4 linked regions of the Drosophila melanogaster genome follow. The protein of the gene in region 1 purifies or fractionates together with the protein of each later gene. This does not show direct contact. Each region holds a gene or a part of one and is shown in the gene's direction. Other genes may lie near its edges.

Region 1 (6,733 bases):
CCCACTTTGACATACTTTTTAATTGCTTGGAACACGTGTCTTCGCCTTTTATGTATGCAGAATGTGCATGCGTCGGCTTGTAATTAAGCACGTAGGCAAACGCCTCCATTTCCTGCCCAGCAGGATGCTTTATGGCTGATTGAATTCCGTCAAAATGCCACTCCCGCCAATTTATACGTGCTTTTATGCGAGCTGTAATGCTGTTTTGGTAGTGCGAGGCAATTTTAATTTACTTTTAATTTTTAATAGAGCAACTAGTAAAGTCTAGCTACTTGCCTGATTACTTTTGCTTAGGGATTCAAGAAGGAAAGGATATCCATAAGGGTGTAAGATGCAACCTTGTACTTGGTTCTGTACACCCATTAATGAATATGCTTATTAAGTTCAATCCCCACTCCAGTGCCCACTCGGAGCCAGAAATTTCTTTTGTCCAATTTGCGTAACAAGTCAATGACTCAAGAACTCGTCTCTGGACACCCCTTTTTCTAATAGCCCATCAAGGATTTGACAGGCGACTAAACGGTAAACGGGCATTTAATGAGGAGCAGAAAAGGCAGCCGCCTCATTTCATCCAATTATCCTTGTTATGGGCAGCCGATGGTCCCATCCAATTATGCGCGATTTGACGATTGTGTGAGTGTCAGGGAACTTGGTTTCGGTCAAGTTTAATCATTAATAATTAGGAATGTCTTTATTGATTATTAAAGAGGGACATCACGCCGCCTTCAAAACATTCAATTAACAGTGTTATCAAGTTTTTCGACCGCAATATTTGGCTTCCAGTTGGTTATCTTTGAAACGCGACTAAGTGAGCGGATTATTCTTTGAAGCACATCAATTAAATCAAGTTACGGACCATTTAGGCAAAGCGAACAAAAATCAAACAGCAGCAGAAGTTAGCCAAAAAGTTTGACCAATATACATTTCGGCTAATCCCAGAAAAGTTTTTCCAACTTGTTTCATCTTTGAGCCGCTTTCGACTTACTGAATTTACTGCAAACGAAACACACTTATGTAATTTCTAGTAATTTGCTAGACTTCTTGACATTTGCGACGCTCTTCAGCAAATAAAATTAACGAAAGGTAAGCAAGTAATATTAATTTGCTTGACCTAATAAAGCCTTAGGCCAATCGTATAAGCCATTATTTTGATAGTAACATATTTTTGTATTTCAGTATTGATTGTTTCATGGTTTTGGTAATTACGAAAACCGCTTTCCTATGTTATACATGATTTTATTAAAATATCAAAACTTTCCCTTGTTCAACCCATTTTCCACTATCTGAACCGCTTTATTGCGAATTTCTCCCAGTTCAATGGAAATGTTTACATACCAGAGCGTTCTATAAATTGGTAGATATTAGTTTTGTTGACTAACCCATTTTTTTTTTTTTGATTTTCGGCTGATGTGTGCCGTGCGCTTTCAAATTTACAGACTTTTTATATTATTCACCAATTTACGCCCACTTGATGCTGTGCAAATTTGATTCACGAGCGTTTTGTTAGTTTTACTGGGAAATACTATGAGCTGATATTAAAACGTAGGAATTCGGTTATAAGTTTATATTCTCAAAACCAAAACGGTTCAGTTTACTAGACTAAATAGTTTTTACATTACGCTGTACAATTTTTGACAGGAAATCCAAATTTCTTTTCTATAATAAGGGCTTACGTTTTTAAAAATGACAAATATTTATTTATATTAGCAGTTAAATTAAATACAACATTGTGGTAAAAGTATTGAGCATTATCTACTTTGCTCTTTAAATTGACTATTTATTGTCAGTTATGTGATTTCCCATTTAACGTTATTTTAAAATTGCATTTAGTTGCTTCGATAACATTTTTCGATTAGTCACATTAGTTGATTATTTTCATCGCTTCGTGAGCTGTCACAGGTAAGCAACTATCGATATGCGCAAAGATCTGAATGTCACCACTAGAAAAACAAATATGGCGGAACCGAGCGTAAAAGTAAAAAAAGTCTAACATTTTGGAGTTTAAGCGACTCAAAATCATCTAATTTCGGATTGAAACCGAGTAACAAGATCCGCGCAGCGCTCTAAATATAAAGCTCGATATTTGGTGAACCAGAAACTAATTGTGCGGCTCGCGTTTGTTTTCGTTGGGTGATGCGATGCGATTTGGCCACCAATTTGTTATTACGTGACCTCAAGAACGCCGCAAAATTTCGCCAGGCCAAATCGAAAGAAATCGGAAAGTTAGTGCTGCAAAACAAAACTTGCTATTGGTGGCTAATGATTCAAGGCAGCCGCAATGCGATTTGACCGCCGGATCGGAACACACGAAATCGAAATCGCCTGAGATGCCAAGGGGCTTGCCGGCGCGAATCAGCAAGTGCGACTACTAGGACAGCCACGCGAGAAACCATGTCGGGCGGACGTGATAGCAGTACCAGTAGCGGGAGCAATTCTGCTGCGCCAGGGGCCAGTACGAATGCCACCTCCTCCGCATCCGCATCCGCCTCCTCCACATCCACATCCGCATCCCCTGGAAGTACAACATCGCCCGCGTCCACGCAACGGCAACGAGGTAGACCGGCCAAACGAGCCACATGCACCTGGTGCGGCGAGGGCAAGCTACCGCTGCAGTACGTCCTGCCCACGCAGACCGGCAAGAAGGAGTTCTGCTCGGAAACATGCATTGCCGAGTTCCGCAAGGCGTACAGCAAGGGGGCGTGCACCCAGTGCGACAACGTCATCCGCGATGGGGCGCCCAACAAGGAGTTCTGCTCGATCATGTGCATGAACAAGCACCAGAAGAAGAACTGCTCGACCAGGCACAGCGGCGGATCGGCATCGGGCAAGGGTCTGGCGGAAAGCGAGCGCAAGTTGCTGGCCAGTGGAGCGCCCGCACCAACGGGGCCCTTTCAATACGAGAGCTTCCACGTCTTCGACTGGGATGCCTATCTAGAGGTAAGTCAAGCTGGGATAATGCTTTAACCCCCAATCTCATACTTTTTGTGGTTTCCAGGAAACGGGTAGCGAAGCTGCTCCTGCAAAATGTTTCAAACAGGCTCAGAATCCTCCCAACAATGATTTTAAAATCGGAATGAAGCTGGAGGCTTTGGATCCGCGCAACGTCACTTCCACCTGCATTGCCACCGTGGTCGGAGTGCTTGGCTCCAGACTGCGGCTACGCCTGGATGGAAGTGACTCCCAGAATGACTTTTGGCGGCTGGTCGATTCTACGGAGATCCATGCTATTGGACACTGTGAAAAGAACGGTGGCATGCTGCAGCCGCCTCTGGGATTCCGCATGAACGCATCCAGCTGGCCCGGCTATCTGTGCAAGATCCTCAACAATGCCATGGTGGCGCCAGAAGAGATCTTCCAGCCAGAGCCGCCAGAGCCAGAAGAAAACCTGTTCAAGGTGGGCCAGAAACTCGAGGCTGTCGACAAGAAGAACCCGCAGCTCATCTGCTGTGCAACAGTAGATGCAATCAAGGATGATCAGATCCATGTAACATTCGATGGTTGGCGAGGGGCATTCGACTACTGGTGCAATTACCGATCGCGTGACATTTTTCCCGCCGGCTGGTGCGCTAGAAGTTGTCATCCCATGCAGCCACCGGGCCATAAATCGCGCATGGACTCCAGCTCTAGCAAACAGCGATGCCCTCGACCCCGCTACACTGTTGTAGCTGAGTCCGAGGCTATGGTTCCCGCTTCCCCTGCCACAGCCCACTTCCATCCGAACTGCAAGGGCGGTCCGTTCATCAACAATTCCAAACTGCCCTGCATGGTGACGGGACCCACCTACCAAACGCTGGCCAAGCTTTGCCTGCAGGAGGTTTTAGCTGCCAGCACGGATACGCAACAGCTCTCAAAGTTGCTGTTTGCCCTGGAAGGAGATGTTCATATCGTGACGGCAGCGGGGAAAAATTTCACAGTGAGTTCAAGATCAATTAAATTCAATGAAAAGCATGTTTAAAATATACTCTTCGTTTCTTAAAGGTAAAAATACCATCGCCAATGCGAATGAAGGATGACGAAAGCCTCGCCCAATTCATCGAAACGCTGTGCACTACATGCCGGGCATGTGCGAATCTCATTTCCTTGGTCCACGAGACGGAGGAGTGCAAGAAGTGCGCCAATAGTCGGAAGCGTCAACTGACTCAGTCAGCCACACCGCCTTCCTCGCCAGTGCTCGCCGACAAGCGAAACCGTCAATCCAACTCGGCAACGACATCACCCTCTGAGAAGATTATCAAGCAGGAATTGGCTGTCAAATCGCCAGTGGAGTCCAAGTCGAAAACTTCGACGAACAATGGCAAGGAGCCTGCAAGCCAGCAAAACAGCAATCACAGTCTCAACAATAACAACAACAGTGCCAGCAAGTCCAGCAACAAGGTGGTCATCAAATCGGAGCCCAACGGAGCGAACGCGCAGACTTCCTCCACAACGCAGGCTCTGCGCAAAGTACGCTTCCAACACCACGCAAACACGAATACGAATAGCTCTGCGACAAACGGAAACCAGGATACGAGCCAGACCACGCACGTATCTACCAGCCATTGCAGCAGCTCGTCAACGTCGTCCAGCACGAGCCTAGCCGGAGGATCGGCGAACACCAGCACAATTGGCAAATACCTGGCACCTCTTGTGGCAGAAGTTCATCCAGAGCAGGCCAATGTAAAGCCCTCGAATAGCTACTACAAGAGTCCGACGACGCTCTCGTCAAGCGCCTCGTTGCCGACATCCGTGTCCACGCCGTTCACGGGCTGCCAGTCAGCCTCGTCCACTGCACTGGCTGCAGGTGGAGTTACAGCGGCTAAGGCGGCCACCGCGCCGGCTGGAGCAGCGGCAACTGCGGGAGCTTCTCCGAGCTACACCGCGATTACCTCACCCGTGAGCACGCCCACTTCTGCTTTGGCAAACTCACATCTGCGGTCGCAGCCGATCGACTGGACCATCGAAGAGGTGATCCAGTACATCGAGAGCAACGACAACTCCCTTGCAGTTCATGGTGATCTCTTCCGAAAGCACGTAAGTAGTAGCTATTACCAATTACCTTAAATAAAGTAACTTATCTAATTTTCGTCTGTAGGAAATCGATGGTAAAGCTTTATTATTGCTAAATTCAGAGATGATGATGAAGTACATGGGCCTGAAGCTAGGACCAGCCTTAAAAATCTGCAATTTAGTCAATAAGGTCAATGGTCGTCGAAATAATCTGGCACTCTAAACAGAAAAACATTAAGTTTCAGGCAGCGGACTCGGTTCGGGTTTGACTTATATAGAAATTGTTAACAAATTAGTACCTCCCTTTAACGTAAAGCAAAGCAAACATGAACGATATTCATAGATGTGTTATGTGTTGGCCATTCATGAAGAAAAAACCCCTACCCTATTTTATTATATTGATAATATAAAACACGCTATAACAAATGTAATCGCGAAGACATGAAATTCCCTATACAAAATCAATCGCATAACAAATTATACACAGTCAAGCTCCGGTTTTCAAAACCATTATTATTAATTTTTTTCCAACTGCTCGTGATTCTTTTTTTGGAATACACATTTACAAATTGATTTATTTAGACAAAATTATTATACTTGAATTAGGAATTTTTATAGGTTTATTCAAATTTACCCAGTCAAAGGAGTGGAGTATTCGTACACACACAATAATTAGTTTATCCATCTATTTCGAAAAATGTGAAATAGTTCTCAATTGGACACAAAATGATTCGACTTTTTCGAAAACTGGAGCTCGGCTACCAAAATCGCAATGCACATACATTATATTTATTACACATAAAAACACGCACATTAGACACCAAAATCTATCCGACACAAAAGAAATGATAATTAACTTTAGAATAGGCGAGAAAATAAAAACCAATATTAAATGATTGTACATATTTTACATCTAATTTTGTAATTATGTATCAATTGCGTTTCCTAACTATAACAATATTTAATTAGTCATTAAACAGGTTGAAGATTTAATTTCTATTAAGTTATTGAAATTGAATATCAGTTTTTAGTTAATTATTCACATGCAGTTAAGGTCATTTTTGCATATAAGAAACGCTTCCTTTCAAAGTTTTGCAATATATGCGATATATAAATGAGAGTAACATTCGGTCGTGTAAAATATTGCAATAAGTCTCATTATGTTAACCCAGCATCCACTTACAAATACAAAAATTAAATAGAGCCAACTGTATATATCATTACGTAATAAACATTACAATTTGTTCTATTTTCAACAGTAAAATAACTGAAAGATGGTAGTCGGATTGGAAGGAAAATACTCAGGCTACAAAAATTCGACTAAAAATGAATCATTGCAAGAGTCAGCATTTGTTGAAAATATCCAAGAATTTAAGAAGCGATGATAAACAAGTCATATTATTATCATATTTATTTTTAACAAACAGATACACACGAATCTTTCCGCAACCTGGTCATTCGTAAAAGTGCTTCTGCACCCATCGAGGCAAGGCAAAGGCGGCGGAGTGAACCTCGGAGGAGTAGTACCTTAGGTCTATAGAATCGATTTCGGACTTTCCAAGCTTGGGAGTAGCGAAGTCCTGGTTTTTGTTCAGGGAGCCCATGACGAAGCCAATGTGGCCGCAGGGATAGGACGGAACGGAGGTGACGGCATAGGCCACCTTAGCAAAGTGCTCCTTGCAGCCGGACATGGTCTTCTTGATGTAGTCCAGGTCCAGCCAGAAGCTACCGCCCTGGGAGCACACGA
Region 2 (6,407 bases), on another chromosome or scaffold:
TCTACAAAGTTTTAAAGAAACCGAAAGAAACCTAGGAATGTGAACAAATCAAATGTTGAAATACAAAGATTTATCACAATAGTTACCTTTTCCAGCGAGTTCTGTATGTGTTCCCTAGCCTTTGCGATTTCGCTTACTAATGGGCTGTAGTGGCTGCGATCAGTTACCTTTAAAAATAAGACAACACCATTGATTACTTGTGTGAACTGACATTTGGTGTATCGAATGGTTGACAAAGGATTCTAGGGATAATAATTTTTAAGCAAAATGAGATGTTTTATGTACGGGCATCTACTTCAAGTCTGTTGTCATGCAAGCATGCTGAAATACTGATAAGCCTCACTCTAATCAGCCCAAAAATTGTACGTAGTTTAAATATTATACAATGCAGTGCTATGCATTTTGTGTAGTATATTTGTGTAGATAGAATACAACGTGTTTAAACCTTTACTTAACTATAGTATTTCCCTGAATTTCAATAGGTTTTAACTTTGTATACATCGATTTGTTTTTGGCACATTTCCATTGAATAAACGAATTTTGTTGTGTAGGTGTCATGTTAAGTACTTATGTTTTGCATACTATATTTTGTATTTATACCAATTGCCAAACGGAAAGTGTATTCAAAATTTGGCTTGCCAGAGTTAGTTTTCTCTCACACTCTGTTTTGTATACACTTTACGCACATAGTTATATTTTTTAAAAGTGTTAAACGTTCACCTGTTACATACAGCTACAAGAATATACCAATGTAATGTGCAATATGAACACAGCAATTGAAAATCAAAGGCAGATAAATATAGAAATCTTTTAATAGATCATTCTACGTATGTATTGAAGTTTAGAACATGTGTGTTTCGGCGTCCTTGCTGTTAAAACAAACAGATTTGCAATAAACATTGCCGAAACCATTTGAACTGATTTACCGGCCACGTGAAACTGGCTAACAACTTAAGTACTTATGGCTGTGATTGCTTAGAGATTTTACCTTCTGGGGACCCTCGTAGAATCGCTTCTCGGCAAGATCGTAGCGGCTCTTGTCAGCCCAGAATTTGTCCAATGCCTCTACTTTCATTTTTAGTCTTTCGCCCGCAGATTTACTCAAACACGTTGCACAATTGGCTGAACAATACGATAACACGTTTGAAAGGGAATGCAGGTATATCGATATCTACGCCATCGGATTCGTTTTTTATTGCTACTGAAACGATGGAAATGAAACACGACATTTTTATTTCAACCAAATTTTTAACACGTTCTCATTCTCATACGAACTGCTTTTTGATGTGCGAGTAAATAAACAAATTTATTGCAATTTTTACAAAACGTCCATAAATTGAAACACTTATTAGTGCCCGGAAAGAAATAAAAAAAAAGTTTGATCTCAACGTAGCAAAATGTAAGTTCCACGTGGCACCTCATCGATGTTTGACGAACTTTTGCACAGGCCTGCGGATCAACATGTGTGTATACTTGTCATCAGTTGATTTATTGCTTGTGATGGGTTGCAACGAAATGTTCACCACAATTGTCGTCGTTGCGTGAAGAGGTTTGATGAAAGAGGGATACAGAGGGATACTTTTTTTATATATTATCTTCCACTTAACTATTTAATGCTTCTTCTTCTCTTTAACAAAATTTTTATATCACGGACCTCGTCCTTGTGTGCTACTAAAAAGCTAGAAAAAGATACCATAATAAAAAAAATGTTTTAAAGTTTTTTAAAGGTATACAACTCTCCTTTACTTTGTATAAGAGATTAACAGATGTTTGCGTCAGCTGTGTTTGATGGAATCGAATTAATTCGATGTCGATTTTACACAAAAATTCCAGTACATGTATTTTATTTACAGTAAAAAACTTTTTTAAGAGCAAAGTAAAAGTGCAACATCACATTTTGTTCCATTTCCGCGTTTCAATTTGAAGACTGGGTAGTATTTGTCACAATTATTTCAGCCATTTAGCAGTCAGTTCTCACTTCGACTATTCGATAGCAACTACAACAAATGGTTTTTTTACGAAGAAAGTGTTGTGTACTGTAACTATGTTATCATATTTGTGATTGTAGATCTCGGTGTCTACCGTTTTGTTAATCATTGCGAATTCTTGGTGCGTACTGATGGTGATTCTATTTTGATCGGTTTTTGAGACTCCTTTCTAATGGATTCACTCAGTGATATGTATATGCAGAGAGCACTGAGCATTCCAGAGCACTGAGTTTAATGTATTGCCATACAAAATCGGTGTCGAAATGTTCGTTATCAACCAGTTTAACGTATAAGTGTGTACTATTCAAATTATATTTCAAATGATGCTGAACATAGTAATTTTCGTTGAGTGTATTACATACACTCGTCTAAATCAGGTGGGATATTTATACCACAGCATAATTGTGATGACTCCATTTAACATATGAATATTTGTGTTTATGTATAATTATCTAGAAGTGCTTGTGTGAGTGTGTTTACGTATAAAAATGTCCCAAGTTATGCAGTAAAAATTTTATTTGCAAACTTATTCCACTTCCCTTGGAATACATATGTGTGTTTTTCGTGTGTGTGTGCGTGTGTGTGCATGTACACATATGAGAGCAATTCGTGGTTTTTCAGTAAGGAAATCTGCAGTTAGACGCAAGGTTTATGAGCTGCCCCTTTTGCAAAAGTGAAACGCTGGTCGTGGCTCGCCACAAGAATATATAACTCGTATAAACTGCATAGTTAGCATTCGCGAAGCGATATCGCACAAACCTGTAAGTGGGAACATTCCACTTCATGTCAATTTCATGAAATCGCTAGGCGTAACCACTAGCTTTGGTTCTAAACCAAAGTGGCAACGCCTTTGGCAAAACAAGTATTTTATAAAAAAAAAAGTTTAATCATATTGCTGTACTTTATTGGTACAATGTGTATACGATATATAGTACCTAATAAAGGTACATTTCAAGGATTGTAATTTTGCAAAAAAAAATCATCGATACCTTTATCGATTGTCCCCACGGACTTGACAGTCTGTATCTTCGCCATTTTGTGGTTATCACTCGCCATTTTTTAATGTGACCGTTCATAAAATGGTCCTGCAAAAAAGTAATGTTTGCGGTCACTAAACTAGAGATTTCTAGAACAAAAAGGACGTAAACAGTTATGTATTCTAGACCTTGATCCCTAGGTGTCACAATGTACGTGGCAATTCAATTCCAGGGTAGCTTTAATAGTACCTGAGGGCTTTACGATTATACGAACAAATACGGACTTACAGTCAGTTATGGCTGTATCGACATGGCTAGTAATCCGGATCAAGGCTGTAAAGACTTGTTAGTTTCATATTTTTACGAGTAACTGGCCTTCATCAGGACGGACAGGCAGATGATCATTATATACTTTTCAAGGACTATAGAACAACTATTACACGGTACCTAATTGAGTTTACTCATCACCCTCAGTATTCTCTATTGATCTCGACGTTCATGAGGACGGACAGACATACGGACACAGCTAGATCCATATACTGCGCCCCTTACTTATCACAACTGCTAATAAATATTTGAAATCGTTTGTTTGGTTTGGTTTTAGGAAAGTTTAGTAGTTTTAAATTTTTAAGTAGATATGTTATACATATGTAATCGTTTTAATCGGTTATCTTGGAAAACTATCGATAACATGGCAATAAAATATAACATTTTAATTCACTTGCAGTGACAATGGATGAAAAAGATAAAGCTCAACACAACATGATATCCAACCTACCACTTTTGTTTGCGAACGGATATCCAACATCCCTAGAAAAAATTACGGAGTCCCAGTTAGAAAATTTTATTCCCTTCATGGTGCAATGCTCTTTAGGACACATAAACTTACCAAAGAAAATAGATTGCAGTGAACCAGAATGGTGGCCCGAAAGCGCTCCTTTCGAGATTCCGCTCAAAAAGCCGAAAGCATTTGTTGGGGTAAGCTTTTTTCCCTTACCTTTTGATTTCTATGGCTTATATTTAACATTCACCCCCATAAATGGCTAATATATACCTGTATCTATTTTACAGAATTGGATGGAAAAAATGAAAGAAATTGTGGTTATATGCTATCAATTTCACAAAAGCTTATTTCTATTAAGATTTTGTAATGATTTAGCTGCGTATGAACACGCGAGCTTAAGATTCATAAACAATTATAACTCAACAACTTCATTGTATGACAGGAGAAACAACAAACTGTTGGTTACATTTCGAAATGAAAACATGGTAAGCCAAGCCTACTTTGAATAATTGGGTTTTAAAATTAGTTAATTCTGAATTGGTTATTTTGCAGTCATATGATAGACAACAAAAGAACAGAAAGTGCTTGTTGCTGCAAAAGAACAACAGTTCCATTAGCGAAAACGTACAGCATATGATGGTTGAGCCACCACCTTTTGATATCTACCTATGTGACAACTGTGATGCCGAACTTTATTCTAAAGAAGCTATACTCGTAAGTTGATTGCCAAAGATTGTCAAAGTTAATAGTTAATAACTCTATTGCATAACAGGAACACGAAAACATTTGTTGCATGGAGGATGACGTTATACTTTGTGATTCCCCTGAGCCAGATAACAAAAGTGATGGGAAAAACGAAGATATCGAACAGCGCAACGCCTTTCTCTTAAACTTTAAACTGCAACCCAAATTCTCCGATAATAGTTTATCTAAAGAGAAACAGAAAACATATTCATTCAGCGAAGAAACATCAACGGAAACATCAAACAGAAAGAGGCGTTTACCATCGCGGAGAAATCGAACAGTTCATTCGTTTAGTAGGTGTTCGTTTATCCCAATATCATCACCTGCAGGACAGCAATTGTTAAAATCGACAAAACAAACAATATCAATGGATTATATTGCGGAAAGACAGGAACGCCTGGAACGCTTTTGTTACACTCCATTGATCAATAAATCAAATACCAAGCAAAAGTATTTTGAAAAAAAAACAAACACTACAGTGCATTGTACATTTAAAAAGTCACATGAACACAATTATCACATATATTCCTTTCCGCGGCGTCAATTTGTTAAACGCAGGGACACTACTGAGAACTTTTTGTTTTTGAACTCTCCGCTGATTAAACAATGCCGTCCAATATCAGTCAGATTGAAAAAAATATCCGAACACGTAATGGAAGAGCAAAATCACACTGCAAATACAAAACTCAATATAAGACTAACGCGCCACAATTCGCTCAACTCACACTGGAGAATTTCACCCACAAAGGAAGTTGTTGTTGATACAATTGACTTATGCTCCTCGGACGACGATGAGCAACAAGAGCCAGCAATAGGCTCGCCCAAAAGACTTGGCTCGGATGCACTGACTGTAATAAAACTTACACATAACAACAGAAATTTGTACAGTAGCCGCGTCGTCGAGCCAAGTAAATGTGCTCCAGAGCCAGAATCAGTAATAGTTGATAATTCGGTTAAGCCCCTACAGCAATCTTTATATATTTATTCAAACTATAAGGCTAATTCAGTAATTAGTCGCTGTACCGTAGACTCGATAGCCAATCATTCACTGGTTGGTTCCCTGAGTACATCGAATACTTTTGCTGATTCTGAGGGACACAGAAAGGAATACAATCAGGAAAACTGCAATTTTTCTAAGAACTTGGTCGCACTCACAGACTGGTACGCTCATTCGGCTAATTCGAAAAAAAGCACTACAAATCAGACTACTGAGAGTAGTACGTTTGATGCGATTTCCGCGGCTCCGCCTTTCAATGGCACTGGGCGTATAATTTCCATTGATTTAACTTCTTAGACATTTTAATCCATAGTTAAGTTAAGAAATTGTTATTTTACAAGAAAACCTAAACTAAGAATTACCATATATGAATAAATAATTTGTTTAAATACTTTTATATATAATGTCTAAATTCATTTTCTCTGCGTTTTAAAGAAAAGACATACTGTAGAGGAACCCTACTGTTTTGGGATCTCTATTACCACGTATAGATGGTAATCAGCATATTTTCCATCCGTTTTCTTCATAGTTCGAAGCGTTAATCGATGATCTGGTTGTTTGAAAGCATCGACATAAAGTACACGTAAATAGTACATGACCTTCAAAAGCTTATTTTTTTTGGTTATGAGTCACATCATAATTTTATTACGTCATTAAAGAAAGAGAGGGGACGTCAGGGTTAATACAAAGTAGCATTAATCCCATGATTGATACTTGAACCAGTCTTTTCGGTATGTACCTCAACCCAACGTGGGCTTGGCCCTTTGTAGAGTTAACCATCACCCCGCCTATTTTAGGCGATTCAGCTGTACGCGTCAGCTGCTTTTGGTTTGGCATATCTAGTTTTATATCGCATTTTCCATTCATTCCGATGGGATGAAGAATTTGATATAATTTAGACCATCCCAGATGTTTCT
Region 3 (6,777 bases), on another chromosome or scaffold:
AAAGTACCCTATAGAGAAGTCCTACCTACTTCACCAAATGGCAGAGATTCATCTTAAATCACACAGGTTTGACGAATGCTGTTTTAGTGCCCGAAAGTCTATTGAAGGTTTGGTCCATTAGTGCTATACTATTAAACGGTTATGGAAATACCTATATATCTATCTTTTTAGAGGCAAAAAAATGCAATAGCTACATTTGGCAGTTTCTGTGCTACCTACTGATAATAAAGGCGAATGCTGCACTCCACAAAGTCGAGCGAACCAGTGAAGCTCTAGATCTGGCACTAAAAATTTCCAAGGAATTGAAAGAAAAGCATATTCATAACTTCTTGACTGCCTGTATACACTGTAATGAGGAGGAATTCATCGTGAAGAAGCAGAGCATTTTTGCGAATAGCCGGCGCGAAAGCGAAAAATCGGTGTATAGTTCCCTGTCCGTGCGCCATAGCAATTAGAGCTTTGTATTATTTGTATAACCAAAAATATTGATTAATAAATTCTCAGTGCAATTATAATAGTGTAGTGACCTATTAGATACCTATACTCAAGTACCCCTGCGTATTTGGAATTTGCATTCTTATTATCAACTTGCAAGCTCCTTCATGGCTAGATCGACTCGGCTACTGATCCTCTTTTAAAAATAATGCTTGTGTAACGTATATATTACACAAACATCGGGCTTACTTTTCACTAGTCTAAGCAAATTCTTGTCTTAATTTATAAAAATATAAAATATTTTGCAACACTTTAAAATATTTTATGGGAGTACAGATAATAAGTGCTCTTCTTTTTGCAGTGTTTTTATTTTAGTGTAACATACAACAGTTCTTCGCTTAAATCGATGGTTTTGATACTACAAATATTACACTGATGCTTTCTCTACCAGCTTGGCCATCATCTTCTCCTCCTTGGCCTTTCGCTTGGCCTCCTTCTGCTTCTTCTTGTCCTCCTTCTCTTTTTGCTCTAGCATTTCCTTAAAGCGTTCGTCGCGTGTATCCACCTTGAACCCGAAGTGTCGGCGCACCTCCTCTACCAGGCGTTCCTTGCGTTGTATGGCTGCCGCTGCATCCGCCTCCCGCTTAGCGATCTTCGCGTGCAGGTCCGCCTTCCACTGTGTCAACTTCTCCATCTTCTTCGCAATGTCCTCTTCACGGGCATTTATCCTTGCCAGCTCCTCTGCCTTCTGCGCGCGGTTCTTCTCCAGCATTTTCAGGAGTGTTTCTAGTTGCATAACCTGCCTGCTGTCTTTCTCTCCGTGGGAATCGAAGCAAATCTTGGGATTCACATTGCTCTGGGCCCCATACCGGCCGAATGCCTGTCTCTGGTACTTCTCGGTCAAATGAATCCAGGAGTGAGGTTCCTGGTATGGCAATTTGTTAAGGAGCACATTTTTGTGTTGTGGTTGCAGGCCGGATCTGTCCACCGTCTGGGGATATGTTGGTTCCACATCCACGTCGCCGACCAAGGAAGCCGGCAGTTCCGCTTTCGCAGCGCTCGAGTACTGGGCGCACGAGCGGAGGGCAGGAAGTCTGGTGACAACGCTTATCTTGCCTACATTCATTTTGAATTGTATTGTCTAAGCAAAATAGTTTATTAATTTCCAATAGAGATGAGAGAAAATCGATAGCGATGACACCAATGCTGGCAACTAAACCCTTTTGGAGCTAAATTCAGATATTTTTTAGGCCCCGTCAGAAAGATAAGTAATAGATATTAATTGTTGTGACAGTCTGGCTGCATCCCAGCTCAAGCTCTATATATTTCTTTTTTCCTTGCTATTTATTTCTATCAATTTGTAATTATCGTTTCCACGATTTGTTACTGACATTTTACTTGTCAGTTTTTATTCCGAAAATAGATTTCTGAGGCTTAAAATTATCATTTTTATGTTGTCAGCTCAAAATATAAAAGAAACATAAATTGATTATACATACGGGCGGCGCACAAGTGTACCCTTAATATACCAATCGTTATCGACAACAATGGTACGTGCACATATGCCCTAATGCAAAACTAAATTCTTGAAAGCGCGGAATTGCATTTAAAACAACTCGTTTTACTTAAGTTGAAATAAGCATTTGCTCGGATAAAAGCCTACGCCACGACATGGCGGGGGATCGTGCCTTAAGTTCCAAGCAATTGGCGGGGCGCATACATTCCGTGTACTGCAAAGATTTCGTGTAGGTTTATTTCCATCAAAGGCGCAAATTGACAATTTCGCGGCTCATTTGATTATTTCCAACAACAGATCCTACAGCGAGATCACATTCCATCCGAAGCACTACCTGAACGTTCTGACCGGTCCCAATGGCAGTGGCAAGTCCACCATCGTGTCGGCCATAATTTTGGGCCTCGGAGGGGAACCGATTCTCCTTGATCGCTCCGCCAGCGTTGCCGACTACATACAGAGCAACAAAACCTCGGCCACCATAATTGTCCGGGTGTATGGACGCACGCCCAACACCACGGAAACCTTTCGGCGCATAATAAACTCTAATGGCTTGTCTACCTTCTCTGTGAACGACAAAGACACCTCCAAGAAGAACTTTTTGGCTGCTGTATCCTCCTTTAACATACAAGTCAGCAATTTGTGTCAGTTCCTCCCGCAGGATCGGGTTCAGGTATGTCGTTATGTTGGCAATTCATAAATTACACACCTATTTATTGTAAACATACTGTTTCAGGACTTCTCCAAGATGAATCCTCAAGAGCTTTTGCTCAACACAATGTCCTCCGTGTGTGACGAAGACCTGATCAACAGCTTCAACAGTCTAAAGCAAATGCGCACAGAACAGGCGAATGTCCATGCTAATCGGGAAAAAGAGAAAAGTGATCTGGTTAAGAAGCAAAAACGATTGGAACAGTAAGATATAGTTACCCGAGCTTATTTTTATTCACTAAGTAAAATGTAACCAAATGTGTGGATGAAGTACAAAATTTTAATTCTTACTAAAAACCTAATTGTCTTAATATCATTTTATTAGCTTACAAATGACTGTGTCCCAATATAAAGAACGCGAAGAGGTCAAGCAAAAGCTGCAGGTGTACAGTGCGAAGAAATTGTGGGTTGAGACTCAGGCTGGAGAAGCCAAGGCCGCAGAAATGAAAACTCAAGTGAAAAACGCAAAAACTCAGAGCGACAAATTGAAGAACCAACATGACAAACTTCTTCAATCCCAAGAACAAATTGAGAAGGAAAAAGAATCACTCAGAAAGGCCTTATTGGAAAAGGTAATGGGTGGCAGTGTTTTTTAATATATTTTTTAAAAATAAGTTTTTTTAGACACGCTTATTAGAAAACGCTGTAGCGGAGAAGGCGGCTATTGATGGTAAAATGGACTCTTTGAAGCAAGGAATTTACCAAAAAAAATATGAACTGGAGGTTGGTGTTCTTGTTGCATATATCGATCATGTGAATAACTCTTAATCTTACATTCTGTCACATAGCAAAACATTAAAAAATCACGAAGAACGGCCACAGAGTGTGATAACCTAAATCAGTTGGTGGAGAATAAAATTTACGAGCTTGAAACCCTAAATAAGAGCAGGCCTCTGATCGTTTCGGAACTTGAAAGGGCTAAGGAATCGTGCGCAGCTGCCCGCGGGAAAGCAATGGAGCAGTACAGCAGACGGAGACAACTGGAACAAAAACTGAATGATGAAATGATTCCTGAAATTACTGCGTATAAACTTAAAATAGAGCGGTTGAGAAACGTCAAAATGCAAAAGATTGATGTAAGTTCTTACTGAAATAATGAAAACTCAACTTAACGCTACCTTTCATTTTAGGAAATTAGAGCAAAAAATCCGAATTTGGTTGTGGCCATGAACTGGTTGGCGCAAAATAAGCAAAGGTACAAATTGAACGTTTATGACCCAATGATACTTGAGGTGAGCTTTTCAAAATGAAGCCATTACCAATGGCCTAATGTTAAAACCGCTATCATAGCTTACAGTACAAAATCATGAGGACGCAAAGTTTTTGGAAAACGTTGTGGCGCAGCGCGATTTATTTGCATTTGCGTGTGAGGACAAGGGGGATATGTCGGACCTGATCAACGAGTTGTGTGTGAAGCAAAAATTGGGAGTTAACGTTATTTACTGCGCACCATCCGATAGACTCGTGTACAGTCCCAAAACTCCCATCGATGATCTGCGGTATGCACTTGTCAATTGTCCAATACTAGTCCAATACCTAGTTTTAAATACTTTTACAGCTCTTTCGGATTTCGGTCATACCTCGTGGATCTTGTCACGGGACCAATACCACTAATAAACAAGCTGTGCGCTTCCTATTCCATTCATAATATACCAATTGGCACAGAAGCTGTGGGCAATTACACTTCATCCATTCCAAAAGCTATCCGAGTTTATTTCGGCGGTGTGTATATTTTTCTTATTCGGTTTCGCTTCGCAAATGTATAAATTCTGATTTTGAATTCCGTACTGTGCATTTTAGGCAGCAAGAAGTTCGTTGTGACCGCATCCCGCTATCGGTCGGATACTATTCTAACTGAAAGTAGCATTCGAGCGAAGAACCAACTTATTACAGTGGACTCACAACAACTGGCCCTGGTGATGAAACAGTGCTCCGAAGCAGTGAAGGAAAGCGACAGCATTAAAAACGCAATAACCCAGACCGACAATGAATTTGAACGATTGCAAGCTGTTGCAAAGGATGAGCAAGAGAAGAGACGAAAGCTTGACCAAAAAATAGCCCATTTTAATAGCCTGAAAACCGAAATTGAAACGCTCCAAAAGAAGCTGGAAGCCCTGCGCAATAGCGATTGTAAGTATTTCTTAGTGCACTAAATATTCAGCCATTATGAACCGTGTTTTTTCAGCGCTAGACTGTCTTGAAACCAATTTTTGTAACAGTTTGCATAAAGACTTAAAAAAAATATTCGATGCTGATGCGGAATTGTGCTCGTGCTTGAAAGCTATTGACCGACTTATAATTGAAAAGAATATGGCCCAGACAAAGGTATCCATTTATATGCTGCAACATGAGACTCAAATTGAAGCCCTCAAGGAAAGCGAGGAACAGAGTAAAGCAGCAACCGTAAGGAAATCGAAATGCACTTAAGGAATTTATTTATAGGAATGTTTTGCTTGCAGAGAGACTTCCAACAGTTGCTGCAGTGCTTAGAAAATCAAATTAGCGACGTTAACAAACGAAAGAGCGCTATTCAGGGCCTTTGCCACGGAGAAATTCCAACCAGTAGCAAATTTCCTTTTAAGAAGGAATTTAGGGAGCTGGAAAATATAGATTTGCCCGAACTACGAGAGGCAATACATGACTTTCAGGCACGATTGGAGTGCATGAAAAGTGTAAACTCCGAGGTAAAACACTCTTTTAAATTAGTGAACTGAAGCTGATATATCTAATAACTTTCCATATTAAAATATGCAGGCCATCAGCAGCTATCAAGGACTGCAAAATGAAGTCAAGCAACTGGAGGAAGGAATTCAAGAGTCTGTTAACCAAGCAAAGAGCATCGAGTCTGGCATGTCCAATTTATACGACAAATGGGAGCCCAAACTTAATAGCTTGGTAGAAACAATCAGTACCAAGTTCAGCGAATTTATGGAGTCCATTGAATACGTGGGAGAAGTTGTGTTATCCAAAACCGACAAAGTGAGAACTTAAACTGTCCTACATAAAAACTTTACTTCAAATGTATTTCACTTTATTAATTCTAGTATGACTTTGACTCATATGGTATTCAGATAATGGTCCAGTTCAGGAGAGGTCTCCAGCTGCAGCCGCTGGACAAGTTTATTCAATCTGGTGGCGAACGCGCAGTGTCCATCGCCATATACTCATTGTCCTTGCAACATGTCACCCACGTGCCATTCAGGTGATTGCGGAACCCAGCTGCAAACTGACGCCCGATTTATAGTTCTCCATTTCTAGGTGTGTCGATGAAATAAATCAAGGCATGGACGCTACAAATGAACGTCACATATTCGACTTGCTCCTCAAAGAAGCCACCAAGCACGGCTCGGCTCAGTATTTATTTGTAACACCTAAGGTAAATATAAATGCTTATTCATTTAAATATTTAGTTAACTGTTTTAAATCTTCTTTGTAGTTGCTTCGAGACCTGAACTACAACGAACATCTCTGTGTTTCCATTGTTCACAACTCAAAAACTGTTTGCCATGGCATGCAATTCCCGATGGCTTAGACACTTTGGGTCATCCAGATTTACTATATGTATTTTTTTATATTAAACACTACAAAACATATCTATTGCATTTTGTCGAATGACCAGCCTTGTGGGGACTCCTTTTCGAACTGTTGGCCTACTCGGAATAAAATCTGTAAGCCGGTAAACAAGTCCAAAGGCAATGATGCCTGACGATTTGTTTTATCAGATTTCAATTTGTCCTCGATTTAAAACCCTACAACAGCACCTATATCTTATTTCATATGTGAAATGATTTTAACACTACAATGCGAATACTTTTAAGTAAAGAGATGCCTTTGTACATATGTTTTTTAAGTAATTGGATAAACTATTTTGGGATGTTAAAAAATATATTTATATTTATATATATATTTATATATATTTAGATATGCAATTTAATGCAAATCATTTCTTTACAGGGTTAATATTAAGCAAAGTATGTCAAAAGTATGATCCCTCGACGCAAACTATAAAAGTTCAGGTTAACTTCAGATAGATGGTTAGTTTTTTATCAGCTCCAAAGAAGTCGGGTTTTGATCGCAATCCGTGTGTGCCCTTATTATGGTTGGGATTTTTTAGATCA
Region 4 (4,890 bases), on another chromosome or scaffold:
TATACATATGTGCCAAAATTTATGGTTATACGTATGTATATACCTAAAACAAGCGATGTATTAAGTTATATTAAGATCTTTACCAAATCATTTATTAGGTTCTTTACTGAAAGGTAAATGTTCATTGAATCCTTTACTTTGTGACAGAAATAATAATCATAATAATAATAATATATTAAATACATAACTAATCATTATAATCAAGAATTATTAAAAAGCCTTTGGAGGTCCCTGTAATGCTGGAATTTTTCTTCTACGGTGAAAACTGTGTGCGAAAGTGTTTACTGGAGTGATTACAAAAAAAAAACAAATCCCTGCCTAAAACACCACTTAAATTAAAATTCATTGGGGTTTTTTGACCATCACTATTGTGAAAGATATGATAACAGAATGCAATTCTATTATGATTCCGTAAAAGTTCACGCAAAGACAATTCTTGAGTGCATATTTTGTCTAGACGATTCATACAAAAGGCTAAAAATAGACCAAAAAGCACATTTTCAATAAAATGCAAGCTTTCGACATAAGGTCCGATCGGTAAACAATTTTATAGTAACATGAACTTAAAAAAAAGTTGGAAACAAACTAAGACAAAACAAAAATATTTGTTGATTGAAAAATATAATAACATTTAAATGTTATGTATTCAATGATAATTTTAGTTGTTTGGCTTGAAGGGTACTTTTACAATTGTGTACTTATCAAACTTTTAAATATAAAATTTTAATATTTTTACAGTTTTAATATACTCTAAGATTACTACTGTATTTCTTCTATGAGAATAAAAATCAATCTTTATTATTGTTTGGGATGAAACTTTAAAAACATTTTGTAATTTATTAAGGCTAGTTTAAGAAATGGTTGAAATATAAGAATAAGAAATATAATAAGAAATATATTAATTTAAAACCTCCTGACATCTCCGATTTTACTGTGGGCAAACCAATCAATAAAAGTATTATAATAGAATGGAAAATGAATAAGAAATTAAAAAATTTTAAAAAGAAGTTTTCCCTGCAATAAAACTGAAAGAAAAAATCTTTAGACTTTTTGATCTGCGAACTTCGAAGACTTCAGAATAGTATTGGGTGAGTACGCTACTATTTAGAGGATAGGATCATTATAAATAAAAATATGCAAAATAAACTCTTAACTCCCACGGCAATGATAATAATGGTGTTAATTTGCATGGAAAGTATCGTCATGGTACGGTTCCTTCGTTCGCAATTTATCCGTTAGATCTGCATTGTTACGTTACGTAGAGCAGTCTAACGGTTAATTCGCCAAGACGGAAACGAAGTTGCTGCTTTTATTGTTGTTGGCTGCCACTGATTGGAGAGCTCTTTCGCGCTCACATTGTGGTTGTTGCTGTTGCTGCCACTTCTGTGGGGGAAAAAAGGAAAAGGCAAGGGAAAAGAAGCAAAAAGCATTTCCAATTTGGAGGCATTAAATAGCGTGGGAGCGAGAGGGGTGCAGATATAGACGTACGCCTACGTGCAAATATGCGATTTCTGCTGACGGAAATTGCAAGTTGCGATTACATAGGCACTCATTCTACCTTGATTGCACATGGTCTTATGTATTCCGAAGTGTTTGCAGATGGATAAGAGCCCGTAAGAGTTGTAAAACCTCTGCCATTTATGTGCAGCCCTTTGTTCTCTATCCCCCTCCCTCTTCAATTTTCCGCTTGTACATACAGAAACGAACAAAGAAACGGCTGGCAAAGCAAAAGAAAAGAGCCAAACGCCGACGTCAATGTCGGCGTCGACGCAGGCAGCGGCAGCGACCGACGATGTGGCGACCGAAAAACAGAGTCAGCGAAGAGCGCCTGTTTTAGTGCAACACCAACATTCAACGAGAGCGGTTCGTCGACGCTGTGCGGAAAGATTACAGAGCGAACGAGAGAGACCGAGCCAGAGCGACGACGCCCCGCAACGAGAACAACAAAAGAGCCGAGTGCGCGTGCAAGAGAGATAGCTGACTTGTTGCCCAGTGAGAGGCCGGCGAGAGCGAGACGGACGATCAGTGTGCGAGCGACGAAAAAGAAAACAAAGATACTCGCCCAGAGCAGTTGGCTACCTGTCTTTGGCCTGGTATATAAGTGTGTGTATGCGAGAGAGAGTAAATAGCGGGCAACGCAGCAGTACATAAACGAAAAGCAGCGTGGTCGTTAGTCGAACAAAAACTCTCAAAGCGAACGGACGTGTGCGGTCGGTTGTTTCGATACTCCTGCTTTATCGCTATCCAAACAGAGTGAAGCGACCACTATAAATAACGAAACAAGAAACATGTGTTTATATTACAACCAGAGCTCAAAGCTTCAGTTGCATAATAATAATAATAATAAAAAAGCAATCTGAAGCCAATTTCCTTTGTGTGACAAATGCCGTAGCAGCAACAACAGAAGCACAACACAACTACGTCTGCTGGCTTATGTACGTCGCGCGCGCTTGTGTGTGTGTGGGGCAGAAAACATAGAGCAAAGCATAATACACAATAAAGGTGCCCGCGAAAGCAGAGCAGCCGAAAGTGCCAGCGCGTGTTGGTGTGGTTTGAATGTGCAGGCGAAGTGAAGAAGTAGAAAGAAAATAAAATAAAATAAAAGTGAAGTGGAGCATAGTGAAGAAAGAGAAGCAGAAACGCTGACTCAAAACTCAAGTGTGGATTATTTACTTGGATTATTCCTCTTGCCATTGGATTATTTATGTATACAAGGCGACCACCGCGATGCCAATTAACTGGCTGGATTATTAGTGGATTAAAGATTGGATACAAAGGTACATGATTGGCGTTAATCAACACTGCTCTCGACCGGCAGCTGTTGCGCTCTCCCCCCACCAACCACAGCCCCTCTTCTGTTTTCTCTTGATGACCCCCTCTCTTTCTTTCTCCTTTTGTCCCAGCAAGTAAGAATTTCGATTGGACACACGGCAATTGAAAAAGGGGAGCATGAGAATATGAGCGTGTGTGACTGATTTTTTTTTACTGCTCTTTCATTTAGCAACGTTTTTTGTTTTATGTTTATGTACTTGTTTCTTTGAATGAAAGCAATATGCGAGTGTGTGTGTGTGCGTGCTTGTGAAAGAGGAGATAAAGCCGCAGTCTCGGTTCTGCATTCTCCGAATTTTCGCTGGGTTGTTGTTTTTTCTGTTCCCTGTCACAGTCTCGCGTTTCCCTTCTTTCAACATCCCTTCGCATCCCTACCCACACACACACACACAAACATACGCGAGCATATAAACACACGCACACCACACACAAATAAGAAATTCCGCTGCTTTTTTTTTTATTATCCTTTTCATGTTGGTACTCACTCACATTTTTTTGCGCGCGCGAGAATCCCTGAGACTTTAAACACGGCAATGGAATGGGTTCGGTAAAATAAGAAGGGAAAGGGCCAACAGAAGGGTTCCTCTTTTCGCACAGCACTTAAAAGTGATGTAAAAAGGATTTAAAGAGGCCTGCTGGCAATTTCTTTTCGCCCTCTCCCATATACAGTCATTCATATTCCATTGCCATATTTTCTGTACACAAATATAATTTTCCATATTCTGTGTGCCCCCGGAGTTGAAAAAGTTTTTCCGAAAAGTTTACCGTATGTACCTTGACTTTTTACTGGCGCGTTGATGCAAAAACAACTTGAAGTTGTTTGAAATACACATTTTGTTCGACGCCCCCACAGATCCGCCCCCCACTTTCGATGTACTTGGCATCTGGTTAAAACTCCACTCGGCACTCTTCACTCTCCCCCCTCCACCCTTCCATCCATAATAAAACAAAGCACCCCTGTGCAACTCTGCTCCCCCCTCTTTTGATCCCAAAAGTGCTGTGCATTTCAATATATTCGACGTAGGCATTCCCATGGCAACTACAACATCCATTATCGAGGGCCCCCACATCCATCGACTGATTGCAAATAATAGCTGCCAGATTGCGACTCCTTTCTGTCTACTGCTCAAGTCCCACAAGCTTTAATTTGGGACATCATGTCTGAGTTAAATGCATTTTGATTTCTTTGAGCTAAAGCGTTCTCTAACAAATTAAAGTCAAAGCATATTCACTAAACTCTAAAAATTGAAATGATCTTTAAGTTTCGATGTTCATGCAACAACATATTTGTTTATTTTACTTAATAAGTTCTTGTCTTTGATCATTTATATTGAGTCAGCGTACTTGGCAACATCATTAAAATATTTTCTGAACAGATCTCTTATGACGATCACTGTAGAAACTTTATCACCATTTCAACTATATTAAAACTGATTCACGAAGAATGATGCAAAAGAGAAGATTGCAGTGAGGAAAAATACGATCCCACCGAGTTCATTAACTCTACCAGTTTTCCCAGAAAGTGTATATTTCCCTTGCCTCCATTATTCTATCGTAAACAGCGAGGGGCGAGTGGAGCTTTAAGCTTCTTCGCGCACCAACGAGGCTATACCGATATAGCTTCGGCTTATTGCTTTCTGCGGCTCAGCGTCTGATTTATTTATAATCTTCAGCACGCTCTCTTCTCGAGTCGATTTACATTTTCCATTTCACATTTTCCATGCGCTCCTTTATTCGCATTTAATTTTAACTTCTGGCATTATCTATTTTGCAGATTGACGCTTGTGCGAAAAACAAAAGCGAATTTTTAGCGGCGAGAGTGTATTATTACTATGATGACGCCAGAATCGAAAGCAATACAGCCGGCAGCAGCAACAACAAAGCAAACAGCAGAAGCAACAGCAACAACAACAATGGCTCACACACAACAAAAGTCGCAGTTGTCAACGTTGGCGAAAACAACAACGACAACGGCAACGAATAAGGCGGCCAAAAGCGTTGTCAGCAATGCAAATAGCAGTGGCAACAATTCGAGCAAAAAGCTGGCTTTGTCTCAGTCTC

Evidence for each region.
Region 2: the proteins of Scm (region 1) and ova purify together in Drosophila melanogaster (affinity purification with mass spectrometry, with the first as the bait; one study listed by BioGRID). This does not show direct contact.
Region 3: the proteins of Scm (region 1) and SMC5 purify together in Drosophila melanogaster (affinity purification with mass spectrometry, with the first as the bait; one study listed by BioGRID). This does not show direct contact.
Region 4: the proteins of Scm (region 1) and Psc purify together in Drosophila melanogaster (affinity purification with western blotting; 3 studies listed by BioGRID, with this or other methods). This does not show direct contact.

What each region holds. Positions count from the first base shown.
Region 1 is NT_033777.3:9,632,814-9,639,546, reverse strand, and holds Scm (Sex comb on midleg), read left to right. Parts: upstream 1-1,935; 5' UTR 1,936-2,391; coding exon 2,392-2,937; intron 2,938-2,995; coding exon 2,996-3,913; intron 3,914-3,978; coding exon 3,979-5,010; intron 5,011-5,071; coding exon 5,072-5,209; 3' UTR 5,210-6,188; downstream 6,189-6,733. Other genes in the region: SpdS (spermidine synthase), read right to left, coding at 6,441-6,733. UniProt on the Drosophila melanogaster protein: Polycomb group (PcG) protein. PcG proteins act by forming multiprotein complexes, which are required to maintain the transcriptionally repressive state of homeotic genes throughout development.
Region 2 is NT_033779.5:10,227,241-10,233,647, reverse strand, and holds ova (ovaries absent), read left to right. Parts: upstream 1-1,955; 5' UTR 1,956-2,365; intron 2,366-3,692; 5' UTR 3,693-3,697; coding exon 3,698-3,943; intron 3,944-4,036; coding exon 4,037-4,234; intron 4,235-4,301; coding exon 4,302-4,463; intron 4,464-4,521; coding exon 4,522-5,787; 3' UTR 5,788-5,888; downstream 5,889-6,407. Other genes in the region: eEF1delta (eukaryotic translation elongation factor 1 delta), read right to left, coding at 87-167, 989-1,075.
Region 3 is NT_037436.4:21,567,273-21,574,049, forward strand, and holds SMC5 (structural maintenance of chromosomes 5), read left to right. Parts: upstream 1-1,979; 5' UTR 1,980-2,106; coding exon 2,107-2,180; intron 2,181-2,248; coding exon 2,249-2,621; intron 2,622-2,684; coding exon 2,685-2,863; intron 2,864-2,984; coding exon 2,985-3,231; intron 3,232-3,283; coding exon 3,284-3,382; intron 3,383-3,447; coding exon 3,448-3,735; intron 3,736-3,789; coding exon 3,790-3,891; intron 3,892-3,949; coding exon 3,950-4,158; intron 4,159-4,217; coding exon 4,218-4,381; intron 4,382-4,459; coding exon 4,460-4,789; intron 4,790-4,844; coding exon 4,845-5,062; intron 5,063-5,118; coding exon 5,119-5,343; intron 5,344-5,413; coding exon 5,414-5,638; intron 5,639-5,703; coding exon 5,704-5,861; intron 5,862-5,917; coding exon 5,918-6,035; intron 6,036-6,095; coding exon 6,096-6,191; 3' UTR 6,192-6,251; downstream 6,252-6,777. Other genes in the region: CG7634 (uncharacterized protein), read left to right, coding at 1-107, 172-455; CRIF (CR6-interacting factor), read right to left, coding at 863-1,561.
Region 4 is NT_033778.4:12,977,935-12,982,824, reverse strand, and holds the start of Psc (posterior sex combs), read left to right. Parts: upstream 1-1,830; 5' UTR 1,831-2,777; intron 2,778-4,603; 5' UTR 4,604-4,661; coding exon 4,662-4,890. UniProt on the Drosophila melanogaster protein: Polycomb group (PcG) protein. PcG proteins act by forming multiprotein complexes, which are required to maintain the transcriptionally repressive state of homeotic genes throughout development.